2 linked regions of the Arabidopsis thaliana genome follow. The protein of the gene in region 1 interacts with the protein of each later gene in a pairwise test. Each region holds a gene or a part of one and is shown in the gene's direction. Other genes may lie near its edges.

Evidence for each region. Proteins that work in one complex are often made in the same cells at the same time.
Region 2: the proteins of AT4G22360 (region 1) and AT5G59990 interact in a two-hybrid assay, tested with the Arabidopsis thaliana proteins (one large-scale study listed by BioGRID).

Annotation. Positions count from the first base shown.
Region 1 is NC_003075.7:11,804,076-11,813,128, forward strand, and holds AT4G22360 (SWIB complex BAF60b domain-containing protein), read left to right. Parts: upstream 1-3,181; 5' UTR 3,182-3,735; coding exon 3,736-4,283; intron 4,284-4,588; coding exon 4,589-4,700; intron 4,701-4,789; coding exon 4,790-4,961; intron 4,962-5,049; coding exon 5,050-5,252; intron 5,253-5,462; coding exon 5,463-5,585; 3' UTR 5,586-5,624; intron 5,625-5,716; 3' UTR 5,717-6,042; downstream 6,043-9,053. Other genes in the region: AT4G22350 (Ubiquitin C-terminal hydrolases superfamily protein), read right to left, coding at 1-94, 206-380, 474-645, 1,015-1,152, 1,247-1,414, 1,508-1,693, 1,767-1,851, 2,129-2,373 and 1 more; AT4G22370 (uncharacterized protein), read right to left, coding at 6,094-6,246, 6,333-6,384, 6,469-6,550, 6,777-6,888, 6,988-7,488; AT4G22380 (Ribosomal protein L7Ae/L30e/S12e/Gadd45 family protein), read right to left, coding at 7,966-8,124, 8,620-8,847.
Region 2 is NC_003076.8:24,148,994-24,157,540, reverse strand, and holds AT5G59990 (CCT motif family protein), read left to right. Parts: upstream 1-4,339; 5' UTR 4,340-4,456; coding exon 4,457-4,849; intron 4,850-5,108; coding exon 5,109-5,267; coding exon of another isoform or gene 5,268-5,279; exon of another isoform or gene 5,280-5,690; intron 5,691-6,161; coding exon 6,162-6,335; 3' UTR 6,336-6,607; downstream 6,608-8,547. Other genes in the region: GAF1 (Polymerase/histidinol phosphatase-like protein), read right to left, coding at 7,758-7,867, 7,963-8,547.

The DNA of each region.
Region 1 (9,053 bases):
TTCTTCCTGCTGCTCATATATCTGCATGTATGCTTCCGATAGTTCTACCATCTGGGGAAGTGTCTCTGCAACATGAAGATCCTGCATCTCGTACCTGCAATGGACATTATCCCCCAAATGAATTTATATCTTTCTTATGCACAGATCTAGATCATGCATTTGTGAACATGAAACACAATAATAGTTAATGATTGAGAAAGCTTACCATAGTTCTTGTGACTTGCGCTGCACAAAGACTCTGAAGTACCCGTCCTCAGGCTTACCATCATGTACAATGTTAGCGATTAGATTATACTTTGAACACACATTCTCCCCTTCTGGTGCTCTAGGCAATGATGGTATGTAATCCCTCAGCTCCATGTCCTTCACTGGGAAGTTAACTGTGGCATAGAAAAAGAAATTGTATCAAATTAACCAGGTATTAGGGGATCCTTATACAGCATTAACGTCACAAAAATTTCAAACAGACTCACCCAATGTAGGGTTCTTCTCTTTGAAGAAGTTATTCTTCTTGAACCGAACCATATGGAACATCAAGTAACGAGGAGATTTGATTACACGGTATCTCATTCTGGCCAGCTTAGGCCGAACCACCTCTGTCACCGTTTCTCCATCAAACTTCTTCAATAAATCGAATAGAGCAACCTGACCCAAAAATCAAAGAAATTAGATTCCACTAACCTCACTTTGCAAACTAAACACTCTAAGACGCATATACGAGGTAGCAAGCCATAAAGGCTACAGGAGCTCCAAACAACCAATGAGTCAGAGAATTCTACACTTTCGCAAGTCATGAACTAGATTCGAAAAAGAAAGTTTACTCCAGGACATTAAATTGGCAATGGCACTATTTAAGAATCCCTTAATTGTATCTCAACCAAATGTGACATTATTTATGTAGCTGTATATTGAGAATCATAAGTTTTCTAGCACTCCACGTTATCATTTTTCTGAAATGCATTTTTTTAATGGCACAAAGTAGCAAGACTTTCAAGATTTGAAATAGCCATATACCTGCGGAATAATGTTTTTCTCCATGACATCTTTGAAAAGAGGAGGCGGTGGCAAATCTAGCCCAAGCATCAGAAACGGCATCCTGGAGATTTCTTTGTTTTCATTGCCTTGATACTCTTTCACAACCTCCAACTCACCCTGTAATGGTTAACAGGTTACATGAGATACAGCTTTTTTGTAAGAAATTATATCAAACTGCATTATGTTGACATTTCAAAGGACGGACACATACCTGGAAGCACTTGTGGATGATACTGCTAGCGTCCTTTGAAGTTCTAAGATCCATGTGCAAAGTGTTGAGGAGCCACGACATAAACTCTACTGGATCTGATTGTTGGCCAATCCTAAAGCGTTTCTTGCTGGCTTTCATGACAGCTTGCAAGAACTCATGTGGACTCACCTGTTGATGCAAGGTAACTTAAATTAGCGAGGTCCTCAATAGGTGAGTGCATAACAAAAACTAAAAAAGTGAGAGGCATAAATTGAGTCAGACTTGTCCTTTAAAGTTTCGAGCATGCCAAATCTTGCGAGTTAGTTCCCCAAAACGGTGACCAAGAGGAGACTTGCAGTGCTGATAATTTTCAGGAATGAGGAAGAAATTCCTTAGAGGAGTAACTCTCATCAACGACTGGATTGTAACATTCACAAACTCTGTCTTTTGTATGTTGTTCAACCCCACCTACATATTTACAAGCTTAACCTTTAGGAGACATTAATTTCAAGATCAAGTGTAATCAAAGAGAAAGGATTACCATTCCTGGAAGATAGTCGGAGCCATCAAGAGCCCTAGACCACTGCCTATTCTTGTCAAGCTCGTTTACTTGTGCTCTACTAAACCTGTAAATGGATAGCACCGAAGCCTTCATACAAAGGAACTGAAAAATCAAAGAAAAATTGACAAAACATGAAAGAAGAGTAATATGTTCAAGCTATCATGCAAAAAAATATAAATAGATGGTAGATGATACAGAGAACTAGTAAGAAGAAACTGATTGAGATAATAGTCAAAGCAATTTTGTTGTTGTTAACTACGTGCAAAGGCTCACATGTTCACAAATCAATACCCAAAATGCAGTAAGAACTATGATGTAGTTAGTCACAAGATCTAATATACCTTGGGTTTAAAACATGGCGAATGTCATCCAAAGAAGGGTCATTGATCTCGTAACTATCAGGAAGACAATAAACCTTCTCTGTCAGAAGATTGATGTAAACGTGGTGTCCTGCTTCCAAGCTATGTGTATAAGCATGAGACTTCTGGCTTCTTCCTTGAAAGTACTTCCCACAAACAAGACACGCATACACATTCAGATTTGACAATGAGACAGAGCAAAACCTCTCGAAATCAAAATCCAACACCTGAAATCAACCATAAGATATGAGTTTAAACGCTAATCTCAAACCAGCAATATAATGAACCTAGCAGAAGCTTAAAGATCCACCATAGATTAGATACATTACAAGTACCAAACACAAGAAATTGGTCAATGATATACCTGACGATTAACAGTATCAAGATAAGGACAATCACGACGAACTTCAACATGGCGTGAATGCTTTCCTCTCCCCTTCGAAGCATCATCATCATCATCTTCGTCGTCATCGACCTCTACTTGAGCTTCTCCTTTCACTTTGTTACCATTTCCCTCTCCTTTCGCAACTACATTACAACGAGTTTGCGATTTATTCTGCTGGTTATTATCATCATCGTAAGCATTAGCAAACGGCAAAAGAGGATTGTTGAAACCTAGTGGTGGAGGTGGCGAATCAGACCGTTCCATCACTCTCTTCCTCTTCACCTCTCTCTCTTCCTCAGAAACACCATTCTTCACTTCTCTTTCACCTTTCATTCTCAAAATTTTCCCTAAGCTAAAGCTTGCTTCAAAAACCTTAGAACACAAAATCCCAGCGATTCACGAAGAATCCTCAACCAAAGAAGCAATGAACTCTTCCAAAAAACGCCAAATACTTCAAATCAGAAGCGTCGACAGTCGCGAATCTACTCGAACTTATCTCTCGTTCCCAATTTTCTCGAGAAACTTCAAAATCCGCCACAACGCAGACGTTAAACAAACAACCTATTAAAGCTTCAAGAGCCGACTCAAGTCTCACCCAGATTGATTAACTCGGTTAAAAGGCCGAATATTTATTATTGGGCCACACTGTTATAGCCCAATAACAATCTGTTCCATTTATATTACTTCTGTCAGCAGTATTCAGTAATTGATCTGTATTCACGATCCGATACTTATCGAATAACCATTAATACCCTCAAGCTTCTCGAAGCAAACTATAAACGCGTGAAAATCTACAAGGACGTATTCGACATTCCACGAGTAAAGAGATGAGTTCTGAAGTTAAAGCCAGCTGGCGAAGAAGTAAAAAAGCAAATAGATTAGCCAAAATACGACAACACCCTCTACCTACAAGCCATAGATACCATGACTCATAAGGGCAACACCGACATTTGTCATCATTTGATAAATCTAACCAACCCTGAAGGGCATATTCGTCTTTCCAAATAGTTATAAAGAGACAGAGACGAAGAAGGAGAGAGAGAAAGAGACAAGATTAGAGAAGAGGATAAGAGAGAGAAAGATATAGAGAATTTGTTGTCTTTTTTTCTTTTTCTTTTGTGGGGTATTTGTTTTTTTTTTTCTCCTTAAAAAGTTTTTTTTTTTGTGTGTATGAAAAAAAAAGCTTTGAAATTCTCTCTCGACAATGGTGTCGGACCAGGATCTAGCGAAAGGAGTCGAGACTTTGCTTCGACAATCCGACCCTAGCTCTCTCACATCGTTAAGCAGTATTGTTCAGCAGCTTGAAGCTAAGTTAGGGTTAGACCTCACGGAGAAGACGACTTTCATCAGAGATCAGATCAATATCCTCCTCCGTGCTCACCAAAACCCTTCTGCCTCCGTCGCCTCCGCTTCATCCGTACAACAATCTCACCCTCCTCCTCCGCCGTCTTCTCACCAGCAGCAGAATTTGCATTCCGGCGTCAATGTTCCTCCGATGGCGAAAGGGCATTTCACACTTAGCCATCCTTCGCAATTCTCTGTTTCTTCTCAATCACAACAATATCCTTCACATTTCGCTCTTCAGCCTCCTTATCACTCTTATGACCTAAATTTCCGGCAGCCTTATCCGGTTTACATGCCGCCGCAACAGCACCAGCATCAGCAGCAGTCTCCGCGACAACAACAATCCTCTGTGATGCTCTCACATGGCGGGAATGCTTCTCTATCTGTTAATCAAGCCCCAAAAGAAAGGTAGGGTTTGCAACATATTTCAAATGTTGGTACGTAATTTTGCTCAAGGTTGTTCCAATTTCAGTAATTTAGGGCTTTTGCTACTTTCATGGAAAACATGATTTTCCATTTTAGGAATGTCTAAATCTTTTGTCAATTTTGTTCATTTACGGGTTTTTAGGTTTTACATGCTCATGTTTAGAATTATCATCCTGTGATATTTTTAGCACATTGATTCATACAACGTTCTATTATAGTGTGATTATTTCTTTCTGATCTACCTAAATTTGGCACATCAACGAAATTTGTCAACTTTTCCTTTGCAGTGCTCCGGCTGGAACTAAAAGAAAGGGTGGTCCTGGAGGACTAAACAAAGTCTGTAGGGTTTCTCCAGAACTTGAAGTAGTTGTTGGTGAACCTGCTCTTCCTAGAACTGAGGTTATCATTGTCTTTCATTTATGATTATAATGTGTATAAGCAATTGTGGTTGTTATTTATGTGTTGCTGTGTTTGGCTTTTGGTTTTAGATTGTGAGGCAATTGTGGGCTTATATAAGGAAGAATAACCTTCAAGACCCGAGTAACAAGCGGAAGATCATCTGTGATGATGCGTTGCGTGTGGTTTTTGAGACTGATTGCACTGACATGTTCAAGATGAATAAGTTGCTTGCTAAGCATATTCTCCCGCTTGATCCATCAAGTAATGGTTAAACACAAGCGTTTTTTGCTGAGTTCCAACTGTGCTTGGTTTGTTCAAGGTTACTGACTGTTTGAGTCACTTTTGGCAGAGGACTCTGGTCAAGCAAAAAAGGCAAAAACTGAGGTGGAGACTAAGACTGAGACCACCGAGCCTATTAGTTCAACTGCTATTAGTTCAACTGTTACATTATCTGAGCCACTTGGTAAGTTCTTTGGCACTGGTGAGACGGAGATGGCAGACGAAGAGATTATTCGCCGTGTTTGGGAATACATAAAACTCAACAATTTAGAGGTAATGATTTTAATCTTGAAATCCTCTGGTTTCTCCTTATTGCTTCGAATTTTTTTCCTGTTTGCTGCTAACTAAAGCTGGTATTGTGGTTTACTCTATAAGATAATTTACAGTATAGGATTTCACATAACTTTATGTTATAGAGCATAGTGAATGGCCATAAACAAGAAAATTAAGATTTGTTTATTCTGCTTTTCAATTTTCTTTCAGGACCCAGTAAATCCAATGGCTATTCAGTGTGATGAAAAGCTCCGAGATCTTCTTGGATGTGAAAGCATTTCAGCTGTGGGGATAAATGAGATGCTGAGGCGCCATATGTACAAGCAGTCGTGATATCTTCTGGTCTGACTTAATTAACTAGGAACTACTAGTGTAAGTGAAGTTTGATTTAACAGATTATGATACTTATATATCAGCATTGTCCAAATATGGTAATTGACTTCTGTATCACAACTCTCTTGCAGGTGTGTATCTAGGGAACCTACTTATGACTCCTTGCTGTAGAACTCTGATAGGGAAGAAAAGATCCTTTTCACTTTTAACTTCCTTTAATGCTATTTTAATCTTCCGTTGGGTTCTTTGTTTTAGTTGGTTGTGTATCGACATGCTTAGGTTGATGTTGTATTTAGTATTGTACCGAAACTCTAGTGTTAAGGGTGAAACGGCGCAGATGTTTTGTATTAAACGCCATTCACCCATGAATGTCTTAGGAAAAAAAAACTCATGTGTTTAACTATGTTTTCCCTGTTGGAAATATTTGCATCCTACTGATAGAAAAATCTTATTCCCTATGCTATGGTTTTTTTTCCTGCTATCTTCCATGTTATTTGCTGTGTTTTTATCAGAATCTCAGACGTGTGACGTAGAAAGCGGCTGCAGCAAGCAGCAGAAGAACAAGTAGCAGGAGTGCCATTGCTTGTCTCCTTGTGTTTTCTGCTTGTCTCAAGAAAGTGACTATCTTCTCAGCAATACTCACTGCAAACGCCATAGTTCTCTGCATCAGAAGACAAATGAGAAACCACAATAGGTAAGTAAGTGAATCACATGATGACATAAATCTTATGAACATGACAGACTCACTAGTCTTAGGTGCTCTATGTGGAAAATTGGTTCCATGAACATCTCCACATTCCTGCATTGTTTGGTTTAAATATGGTCATGATTCACGGGTTATAATTGTTATGATAACTGAATTTAGAGTGGAACGAATACTGACTTTATCAATAGCTTTCCCTGGTACATATGGCAAATGTGGAAACTGAATCCCTTCCCCAATTGGATGTGTGACTTGTCACATTCTGCACATTACAGGTAAACCGTCATGAGAACAATCATTTCAATTGGATTTGTCAATTTTTATTTGGTCTTGATCCTGGTCTGGTGAAAGGAAGGCTTATTCCGGTTTGGTATTCTGGAGTGTTTGAAGGTTTTGACTTTCCGGTTTCCTTGACTGACCCAAATAGGATCGGTTGCGTATAAGGTTATCAGTTATTCGGATTAGGATATAGGGACTAGGGGACTAACCGAGTTGCCATTGAACTCCAACGGTCATGCCATCTTTGAACGTTGGTTTAACAATAATCTTGATATCCTTTCCCAGCTTCATGATCAACCAGTAGAAGAAAGCCATAACTTGCTGCATGTATAAAACCATATTTACCCTTATAACATAAGGATTTCAAAAATAAAGATTTGTGAAAGAAAAGTTATTGTTACCATTACAACATATGCTAACCTTCTTCCCTTGCAAGAGTCGATACTTAGATAAAAAGTTGGAAAAGAATTGGCATTCATCTCCAATAACTTCTGAAATTCCTTCGATGTTTCGGTCCTTGATATCGGAATATAGTTTTAGAACTGTCTCCTCCGCCCGATAGTCTTTCTCCATGATGTTTCGGTCCTTGATATCAGTGTATAGTTTTAGAATTGTCTCCTTCGCTCGATAGTCTTCCTTCTTATCGTCATTCTCTTCATCTTCGCTCTCTTCCTGATCTGATTTCTCTTCATCTATGCTCTCTTCCCAATCTGATTCCGATTTTCTTACCCTTGTGTAATGCTTCAAAGTGCTTCGATGTGAGTGTGATAGATCCAGATGAAAACTCGTATTGGTAGAACCCTTTCGAATTGACACGCGAGAATTCTTCGTGTAAATTGAGCATGAGCTAAAGCTATTTATCCCTGAACATAGTTTAGATGAAAACATTGTTTGCGTAATTGACATATATGAGGATGCCATTGCTTGTAAAATGGAGGATGGTTTTGCTGACTACATAAGATTGCAATACTTTATAAAAAGCTTTGTGAAGAACATAGATTTTCATTTGTATAAGTGAAGTCTGGAACAAACGAATAAAAGAATGTGTTTGTTTGTGGACAAAGCAAAGCGATGAAAAATGTAGCAAGTGTTGGAAGATAAGAATAATTTTCGATTTTTTCGTAATGGGACTTAAGGATAGATCGTTAGTGTAATAAATAGACAGTTAAAGAACCATGACGGCTCTTTACCTGTTATGTCTCAATACAAACCAAGCAGTGCTTGGCAAGCACCAAAATAAAAATCTAAGAAACTCAATTGTACAAATGAGCGATGATGATCCACATACTAAGCATTAACACCAGTCACAATACATTCTTCAAATAGGTAAATCACACAAACTAACTTCAGTCAGAGCCATTCCACATTGCAGAGACTCTTCATACTGAGCAGAAATCCTTAGATCAGGAGCTTCTCAATTGCATCCTTGAGATGCTGAATCTGCGATTTCAACTGGCTTGCCTCATTCGATGTCACTGAACAAGCAATAACAGGTCTTGTTACTCCACATGCTCTTCCCAATGCTTGTTTCGAAGGTACAAACACATATGGCACATTCTGCATTTAGATGGAGAGTACAAAAAAGCGTTAGTTCAAAATCAGACCACGTAATAATTGCTTGTATAGTAATGAAGCTTGTTCAAATAGGATAAACTATAGCTATGATGAATCATGTCTTCCTCAAGAGTGAACTCAAAGCTACAATTTTTAAACATAAACTAGGAGAAACTATAGCTATGATGAATCATGTCTTCCTCAAGAGTAAATTTGAAGCATACACCAATAATTACATAGATACAATGATTCAATTGAAGACCAAAACAGAGTAAACAGAGAAAGTTTCCTGAAAGAACTCAACAGAGAAAAGTATGTTCAACACAAAATTGCATAAAGCTAAGAATGGCTTCTTAAGCTTCTAACAACCACCAAAATCTGAGAAACACTAACCTAACGATACACAGCCTCAAAAATTGCAACCTAATAGCTCTCTATTCTACACGAGTTGAATTAAAATTGCAACCAAATCATCGAGAGAGAGAAAGAGATGGTAACCTTATCTTCGGCAAGCAAAGGAAGATGAAGAAGAATCTCAAGTGGTTCAGCATCAGCAGCCATAACAACGAACTCAGAGATTCCACGGTTCAATGTTTTGGTAGCTTCATTAGCTCCCTTCTTAAGCTGCTTGTAGTTAGTAGCTTGTTGAACAAGATCCATTATTGTTATCGAAAGCTGAGAATCTGCTAACGGATACGCCTTAGGGTTCACTACCTCTCCCGTCATCTTCTTCGTTCTCAATAAGCTCACAGAAAGAAATTAGGGTTTTTGAAGGATTTGAGAATGTTTACAAATCTGTCCTTAACCCAAAAAAAGAAGAAGGTATATATATAGAAACATGACTCGGGTCGGGTTTTCGGGTTTCGCTTCGGATTGGTGAATCTGGGACCAAACCGACCTTTGATGTCGGTTATTTCTGTCTTATTTCAATT
Region 2 (8,547 bases), on another chromosome or scaffold:
TAAAATCCTAACTTGTAAAAAAGGTCAATGTAATGAATGACAGTAAATAAAAACTAGATTCGAAATCGAAAATATAATCGGTGGTTATAGTACTGTATAACTTTATCATTTTCAGTCAAGTGAAAATAGTGATTATAAATGACATAAATTTGGGTGTCAGCAAACTTAATATATATATATATATATATATATTCAAATTTCATCTTTATCAAAAAAAAAAGTTCAAATTTCAAAGGATTAAACTTAATTTGTTTCAAAATATAATAATTAAGTAAGTTATATAATGCGTCTGTTCTTTTTTCAAAAAAGCGTGGTCAACAAATTGCTAGTGAAAAACAGGCTCATTTTTTTGGTTGATACCTACAAAGGTAAAACGAATAACATTTTTTTTTATATTTCAAAGTTACAAAAAATACAAATGCATCCCGTTGACTCACCAAATCAAAAGAAATATCATTACTTCAAAAGCCTAACCCATTTTACCTATTTTGGAAAGTTACTTCTTCCTCCTGTACTCTTAATCTTGGCCTTACGGTTATGTAGCCAATATTGATCCTGTTCGACATATACATCCACTCATTTATACATATATAATAGCATCCAAAGCGAAAATGATAAAAGCAGTGTTGACATTAATTATACCAAGTAAGTTATGGTATGTTCCTGACTTCCTGTTCTTTATTTATGTATGTACACTGTAGATGTAGTATATGTCAATATGGATTAAACTTGAATTTATAATCTCAAATAACAAGAAAAAAAATCAAAATTAGACATCTATAGATATTTCTTAATCTGATGGGTTTTTTTTTGTAACGAATATGAATTCCAAGGCCAAAAACAGACGAAGTATCCAAAGTTTGAAAGTTTAATTTACGTGAATGGAGAATATGTGAAAATGGTGGAGAAACTATTGTGCTTGTTGACCTTTTTCTCTTGTCCAGAAGATTGGACAAACGCATAGAAACACATGCACGAGTCCTAATTAACAATTTAAAAAGAATAGAGAAAACAATAAAACAAAATGATGGGATCACTTAAAAACATCTAAATCACACCGTCTTTCTTTGATTTGTATGGAACATACTTTTCTTTCAACCAAGAACAAGTAACCCTACACATTTCATTTCTTTTGATCATAAACTCTTTGTGTACTCATTGCCTACATTTATGCTATTATCATTGCTTTCTATAGGCTTGGACTATATTATTTGCATATTGCCATTAATATATTGTAAAATCAAACATCTCGCATAATACCATGAAAAAGTTTTGTATGCATACTATACGTTGTTTATGTATGAATTCATGCTATAAAGTCAAAATGCAAATTCATATTTTCACCAAATGTAGTAGTAGTAGTAACGTTTTCACACGATTATATTAATTTCAGTTTTAAGTTCATTTTATAGTATTACTTATATTTATTTATATAATTTCATTAGTAATAGGAATAAATACTAAAATATATATCTCCCCTATTCTATCATCGTTTTCATGAACCGTTGACCTTCTTGAAACTACAACTAGGTATATAATTGTTGTGTGCAAATAACCAAAGTGGGTTACTGAGAGACTTGCGAAAGTATAAAACCAATAATTTGCTCCAGTGGTGGTAAGAAATGCAAAAACAAAAACACTATTTATTAAAAACAAAAAGAACAATTCTTATTGGATCGTTAAAACTCGAAACTAGTTATGAACCAACCATAGCATGAAACGTTTTGTTTTTGGTACATTATGCTACAAAGTTTACCACCAAATAGAAAAAGTCTTCGTTACCATCGATTGATCTATAGATTTTGCTTTTGCATGACCTTTCCCATCAACTTGTGGCTATTTTGCCCTTAAGGATACACAAAATGTCTTTCTAATTAGTCCCATAGTACATCTATCCACTGTTGGAATCGAGATCCTATGTCCTCGTAACGATTGCGAATTATTATTTATGTCTCTACATTATGTGGGGCAACTTTGTTTTAAGTTTTGAAATGTCTTCAACGTTCCCTAAAAAATGTTTGCAAAACACAGCTAGTATATTTAGAAATTACAATAAGAGTGGTGGATACGGAACAAACACAAATCGACATTAATGTTTGTACGTTGACGATAAAAAGAAGAGTAATCGATAAAAAAAAACTATAGATAATCCCAATAGATGATGGTTTAGTGTTGTTTGAAAATACTCTCTCAAAATGAGATTTACAGCTCTCTTCCTACTAATTGACCTGTTTAGAGGAGACTAATTTACATGCTCTAGTTTCCGGCGCATAAAAAATGAAAGTTTGTGTTAATCAAAGAAAAAAAATATAACTAATTTTTATTTCGTTGATTCTAATGGACCTACATTCCGATCCTCTTAAGTGAAAAAGATGCTTTCGTACCCCATAAATAAAATAAAATTATATATTTGGCTTAGAGAAGTGATATCGACGAGAAAAAATTCTTCAAATAAATTTATCGACGGACCCATATTGTATATATAGAATGTAATGGAGAAGAACAATCATTTCCCCTAATACAAGGGAAGATTGTATACACATTTCAGGAGGAAGACTATCTAAGTTAGTGCACTTTTGTTAATTTTGGTTCAAATTTAGGTTTTAGATGTAACAAATTTGATTTTTCATTTTTGGTTCGGTTTGTTACCATCATCCAAATGAAATATTTTGGATACATATAGATATATAATCATTTTAGTTTAAACTTGGATTGGACTGAATTAGATAAATATAATCAATATCATCTAGTAGTAATAATGTGATATGTGGGTTAATTTTTCTACTAAACAAACACCACGAGTTGGGTTGATATTATGTATCCTCATTATGGAGTGAGGCTTAAACAGGAAATTATAAGTTGTTTTGTTCTTAAATGAGTGATTATGTATTATGTATGATGATGATGATGAGTAGGCCAATTTAGTGACTGACTACAACGTGTTCCTACAATATATTGGTATATATGCAGTGATCCTACTATTCGAATTTCGTTCTTGGAATGTAACTAATCGTAAACAAAATATCTATAAAAAAAAACAATATTTATATACTTTACCGTAGGGGTAGCTATGTATAACTCGTTTGAGATATTCTCTCGATATGTTACCTAAATCGATTTGATTCCAAACAAAAAATTCTGGCTAATTAACCTGACTAATCATGGATTGGAACAGATATACAATTCATATACAGAGCAGTACTATCGTGTCTTGTCTGGTTAATTATCCGGACCGGACTAAACACCCGTTTAATGTGAACATAACCAAAGCAATCAAGTATCTGAGCTTAATTAATTATTACTGTTGATTAAGTTAATGATTAATTAGGCAAAAAAGTAGATTTGTATGCTGCTCACATGGGTTTGCGTGAAATAATGCTTTTAACCATCTTTTTGTCTCTCCTATACAATTCGAGCTAAAAAGCTAAGTCGTGTCCTTTATTTTATTTTATTTTTCTTTACATTGTTCTTTTGCTGTTATGATTTATGAATGTTGCACGAGATGTTATCTATCTACTATTTTAAAACACAATTGTATATTTTTTTTCGTCAAGGACTTGAAGTTAAAACACAATTGCTTACGAAAATATCAGTAAATTTACTGTTTCAAGAAATGATTATGCCTTCCATTTTACAACAATTATCGTTGTGAAATTCTTAATACATTAAAAAATGTTATAACGCCATTTAGTTTGAAACGTAAATGTGTTAAAGAGATTGAAAAAAAAGAAAGAGTTTACTAATTATAAAATTCAATATAATAACAATTTTTTTGAAATTCAATATAATTAGTATTTTTTTTTTTGAATACCAAGAGGTTTTGGACTGAAACCCGTAATCCCTCCGTACCCGAAACTACAGCATATAATATTACTTTTGTTCTAAACGTCATTCGAACTGGCGATCTCTAAGTTTCGTCTAGGGTTTTTACTAATTGAATTAACAACACTTGGTTATAATTAGTAATTATTTGTCACTAGCTTTCTTCCTCTGTATTTATAATTGATAGCATATTAATCAGTAACCTATATATAAGTAAGTATATTTGAATTTTTGTTTTTAGTAGTAGTTCTATTTTTAATGAAAACATTTTTAAACCTAAATGAAAAAATAATTATCATTTTTGTTCAACTATCCAAATTCACCTTCGTATAATACATGTCGGATTCAATTTCGTGTAATATATGTCGTTTGAAGAATAACGGGTGAGAGTGAGATAGAAGCGACCTGAAAACGAAAGGCAACTCTTTTTATACCTAAAGATTCCTTTTTTCCTAGTCAGTCAAAAGAAGTCAACGGTTAAGTCAGTTGACTTCAGATGACGATTAATGACGTCAGCATCAGTCCTTCCTCTGTTAAATAGAAACCAAACCACTTCGAGTTTCACTCACTCACACACACACACATAAACAAACACACAAAGACACATAAACACCACAATAAACTAAAACCCACCATGTGTGGACACGTCAGCACTTCTATAACCTCCGGCGACAACTGTCCATGTTTTCTATACTCCGACGACATAGTGGCTCCTCCTCAGCTGCTTGATCATCATCATCATCAGTTCCCGCCTCCGCCTTTGGCGCTTCTTATGATGAGCCAAAACTCTCTATACGCGGCCGAGGCGGTTTCAGGGTTCGGTTACTTTGATTCCGGCATGAACGGTGGTGGTGGAAGCAGCAGCTGCGACTCGCCAAGCTCTATGGGGAGTGGCGGAGAGAGTCTTGTTATGCAGAGGAGTGTTAGTAGCCATAATGGCTTTTCCGGTAATTACACAGCGGCCCATGATTTCGTTAACGATGATGATGGGCCAGTGAGACGGGCCCTTAGCGCCGGAGATCTACCCGTAAGTAATATTATATACACACTTGCAGTTTCGAGATTTCAAACGTTAACTTTTATGTTTTCGTTTACGTATGAAATTTTTCACATTTTATAAAACGAAACATTATATTGTTGGTTTGTTTTATGGTTTTGCAAGAGTGTAAAATGAAAACACCAAAACACAAATAAATTATCTAAACATACTAAAATTTGGGGTTTTATTTGAAAATAATAATAATTCTATCATAACATAAGACGACACTGTTTTGGTATGTGTGTAGAGGAGTAGCAGAAGAGAGAGCAGTACGGTGTGGAGTGAGAGCAATGCAATAATAGAAGGAATGAGCAAAGCCTACAAGTATAGTCCTGAGGAGAAGAAAGAAAAGATCGAGAAATATCGTAGCAAACGAAACCTTAGGAATTTCAACAAGAGGATTAAGGTAATTTTATAAATGTTTTACAGTTGTTTCTTTGTTCTAAACTGTTTGTTAGCATAAATTCTTATATCTTATTTTAACATATAAGAATTTATCATTTGATTCATATTGTTCTTCATCACATAGAGTCCATGTACACCTAACCTATATTATATATTCAACATGTGTATATATGTGTCGCATGGAAAACTTTTGAGGACTTGACATGTACAGTAGTTGTATGGAACAGTGACATGCACCTTCACATATATTGATGCAACCATTTTCTAATCAAGCATACAATTTCCTATAAATTTCTTCATTAATCAACTAATAATGATTTCTGTATAATTTCATACACAAGAGCATATATAAATGTCTATTTTCTTAAAATCAAATGTATAAGATATCTTTTCTTAGTAATACTGTTTTTTTTTCACATTTAATACAAAACTAAATGGTTCGTTGACCAAAAAAAAAAAAAAAAACAGGCTCAATGTATCATATCAATCACTCTTATCACTAAAAAGTAACATTGAATTTTTCTTTTCAATCTTATCTTCAAACATAAATAGAATTTCATCTGATATATATGAGTATGTGAACGAGAATTAATGTTCTGTCACATCATATTTGGGTCTAAGGAATCCTTTGAGATAGACACATCAAGCTCCAAGGTTGCTACAAGTTTTTTTCTCCATTAGTTTTTTCTTACAAGAAGGTCCACAAATATATTTCATTGCTAATTAAAGATCGGATTGGAGTATTCATGTACTAACATATTCAAACCGTATCTCAATGAGATATTTCTGCTCGCGTTATAATTTTTTGACCGACAAGTTTTGACTTGTGAATGATCTAAAAACTATCACAATACTTTGGGACAGGTTTAATAATAATCTTTTATCTTTCTATTAGTACGAATGCAGGAAGACATTAGCGGACAGTAGGCCAAGAATAAGAGGGAGATTTGCAAGAAATGATGAGATCTCACAACAAGAACAAGTTGATGTTATGGAAGCCGTGGTAGGAGATGTCGACACGTGGGCATCTTTTCTTGATTCTTTCTCTGCTAATCACTTCCTCAACTAATTTAATCTCTTCTATGTTTGTTTTTCTTATATATGTTTATATATGGCACTTTAATTTGTTTTGGTTTAAAAGATTTCCCCATGTTGCTAAACTCATGTGTAGGTTTTGTGTTATCTTTGTATATAAGAATAACATATCTTGTATTTTTGATCTGAGATATTTGCAAACTAATCCTTTTTCACTGGCCATACAATTCTGCATGAGTGGTATATGCCACTTTGTCAATTGACGATTGCAATTGTCTTAGCATGGCACTGAGTTCTATAAGTGAGATAAATGGGGTTTTAGATAGGTTAAAGGCAAAACAAAACGATATTCACCTATTGAGAACAAAGTGGATTTGAGATAAAACGTCGTCGCCGTATTAGATCCGTCATTTAAATTCGGTAGTCCATAAGTGAGTTGCAAACGATATACATAAAACAATTAAAAATATCGAACTCCAACTAAAACAAATTGATTACACATCGTTAATGTATATGGACCCTTAAATAGTTAATGTATAGTTTAGTATGTTCCTTAATGGTCTGATTTTTCTTTTACCAACTTGATTTACAAAAGTATTTAGAAAGTACAAAGATGATAACTTTTAGCATTGAAAAACATATAATGAACACATGGCCATGTTACTTTGATGATTTCATAATACTCTCACGTTGATTACACATCGTGCTAAGTACTAGCAATCTCCAAAGGTAAACATATATTATATACCTTAAGAATTCTTAAGATATCAAAGAAGCTTCCACTCAAATAAACTAACTTAAAGTAATCAACCCATACATTCATTCTCATAAGTCAGTATATAAAAAAAGCTAGAGGAAAACATACTAGCAATTATTTTTGCCAAAAAAAAAAGCTATGGAAAAGTTTCTCAGCACTTTTGATATTTTGCAAGAAAAAATGTTACTTTGATTGTAAGACTATATTATTTTCCAACAGTAACAAAAATCATTTATTTTTATTTAAAAGTGAAAATAATTTGAATGTTAGGCATCTTTAGTAATAAGAGAATAATTTTTCTCACAAGTAGGTAATTAGTAATAATGTGAAGAATAATGCTTCTCAATTAGATTATAAATAAAGTAGTTTTGAAAAAGGAAAGAGAGCAGTCTTTCTTCTTTAGCAATGGCTATGGAGGGAGATGTAGGCCCTCCGGCGACATTGTCCCCGACTTTTGTCGGCCGGCGGTAGATTTACCGACTCCTCCACTCTTAAATCTTTTTAACTTTTTTTTTTCCTTTTTAATATTTTAACTAAAAGCCTTTTTCTTGAACACGAGTACACAAAGAATCAACTCTAGAGAATAAATTAGATTCTTTCTTTCCCCCATTTTATAATCGGTTCAAAAATGAAACCACGAGACTTGCGTGGGTATAAATTAATGGACAAAACTTGTACTTATAAGAATGATCAAGCTCTTCAATGTTTTCTTTTTTTACTGATCCTTTTGAACCTTGATTGAAGTAGAAAAGGCTTGAAAGGCCTTAGTTGCGGTAAACGAACTCTACTCCTCTTAGCTTGCGTCTTACCTACATTATGGATTGATATAACATTAGACTGAAATCTATACTCCAAACTTATGTGTTAGGTTAGATTTGCAAATGAGGAAACTTAGATCTCGTACCTGATTTTGTGTCATTGTTATTTTCAGAGGATTGGACTTGGGCTTGGTGACTAGCTTCGGTTTCAGTCTTTTCAACCTTCTCGTCTTCAATTGTTAACTCTTCGACCTTATTGTCTTCCATTGTTATCTCAAAGGTGTTGTGGTTTGGAACTGATGCCTCTTCCTCGAGCTTTGTCTCATCGGACTCTAGTCTTGATGCTTCGTCATGGTCTTGCACAACCGCATCTGGACTGAGAGATTTACCTGATTCACTTAGCAAATCGGTAGTCTCAGAGGATAAGTTAGGAAGAATAATCTTACTGTCACCTGTTTCATGCATCTGGTCTTCCATTGTGACCTCCATGTACTCGTCGTGATTTGCTTCCGAAGAACAATCAATTTTCATCTCATCAGCAATGGATGTGAGGTGTTCAGGCTCAGGGATATGCTTCTCATCATCAATGGATGCGTGGTGTCCAGACTCAGTGATATGCATCTCATCATTACTAGCATGACCAGTAGTAGCTCTTTCTTTGCTGTTTTCGTCCACTGAGGCTTCTTCTTCAAAAGCAGCATTTCCCATGTTATTCACTTCAACAGGACTTT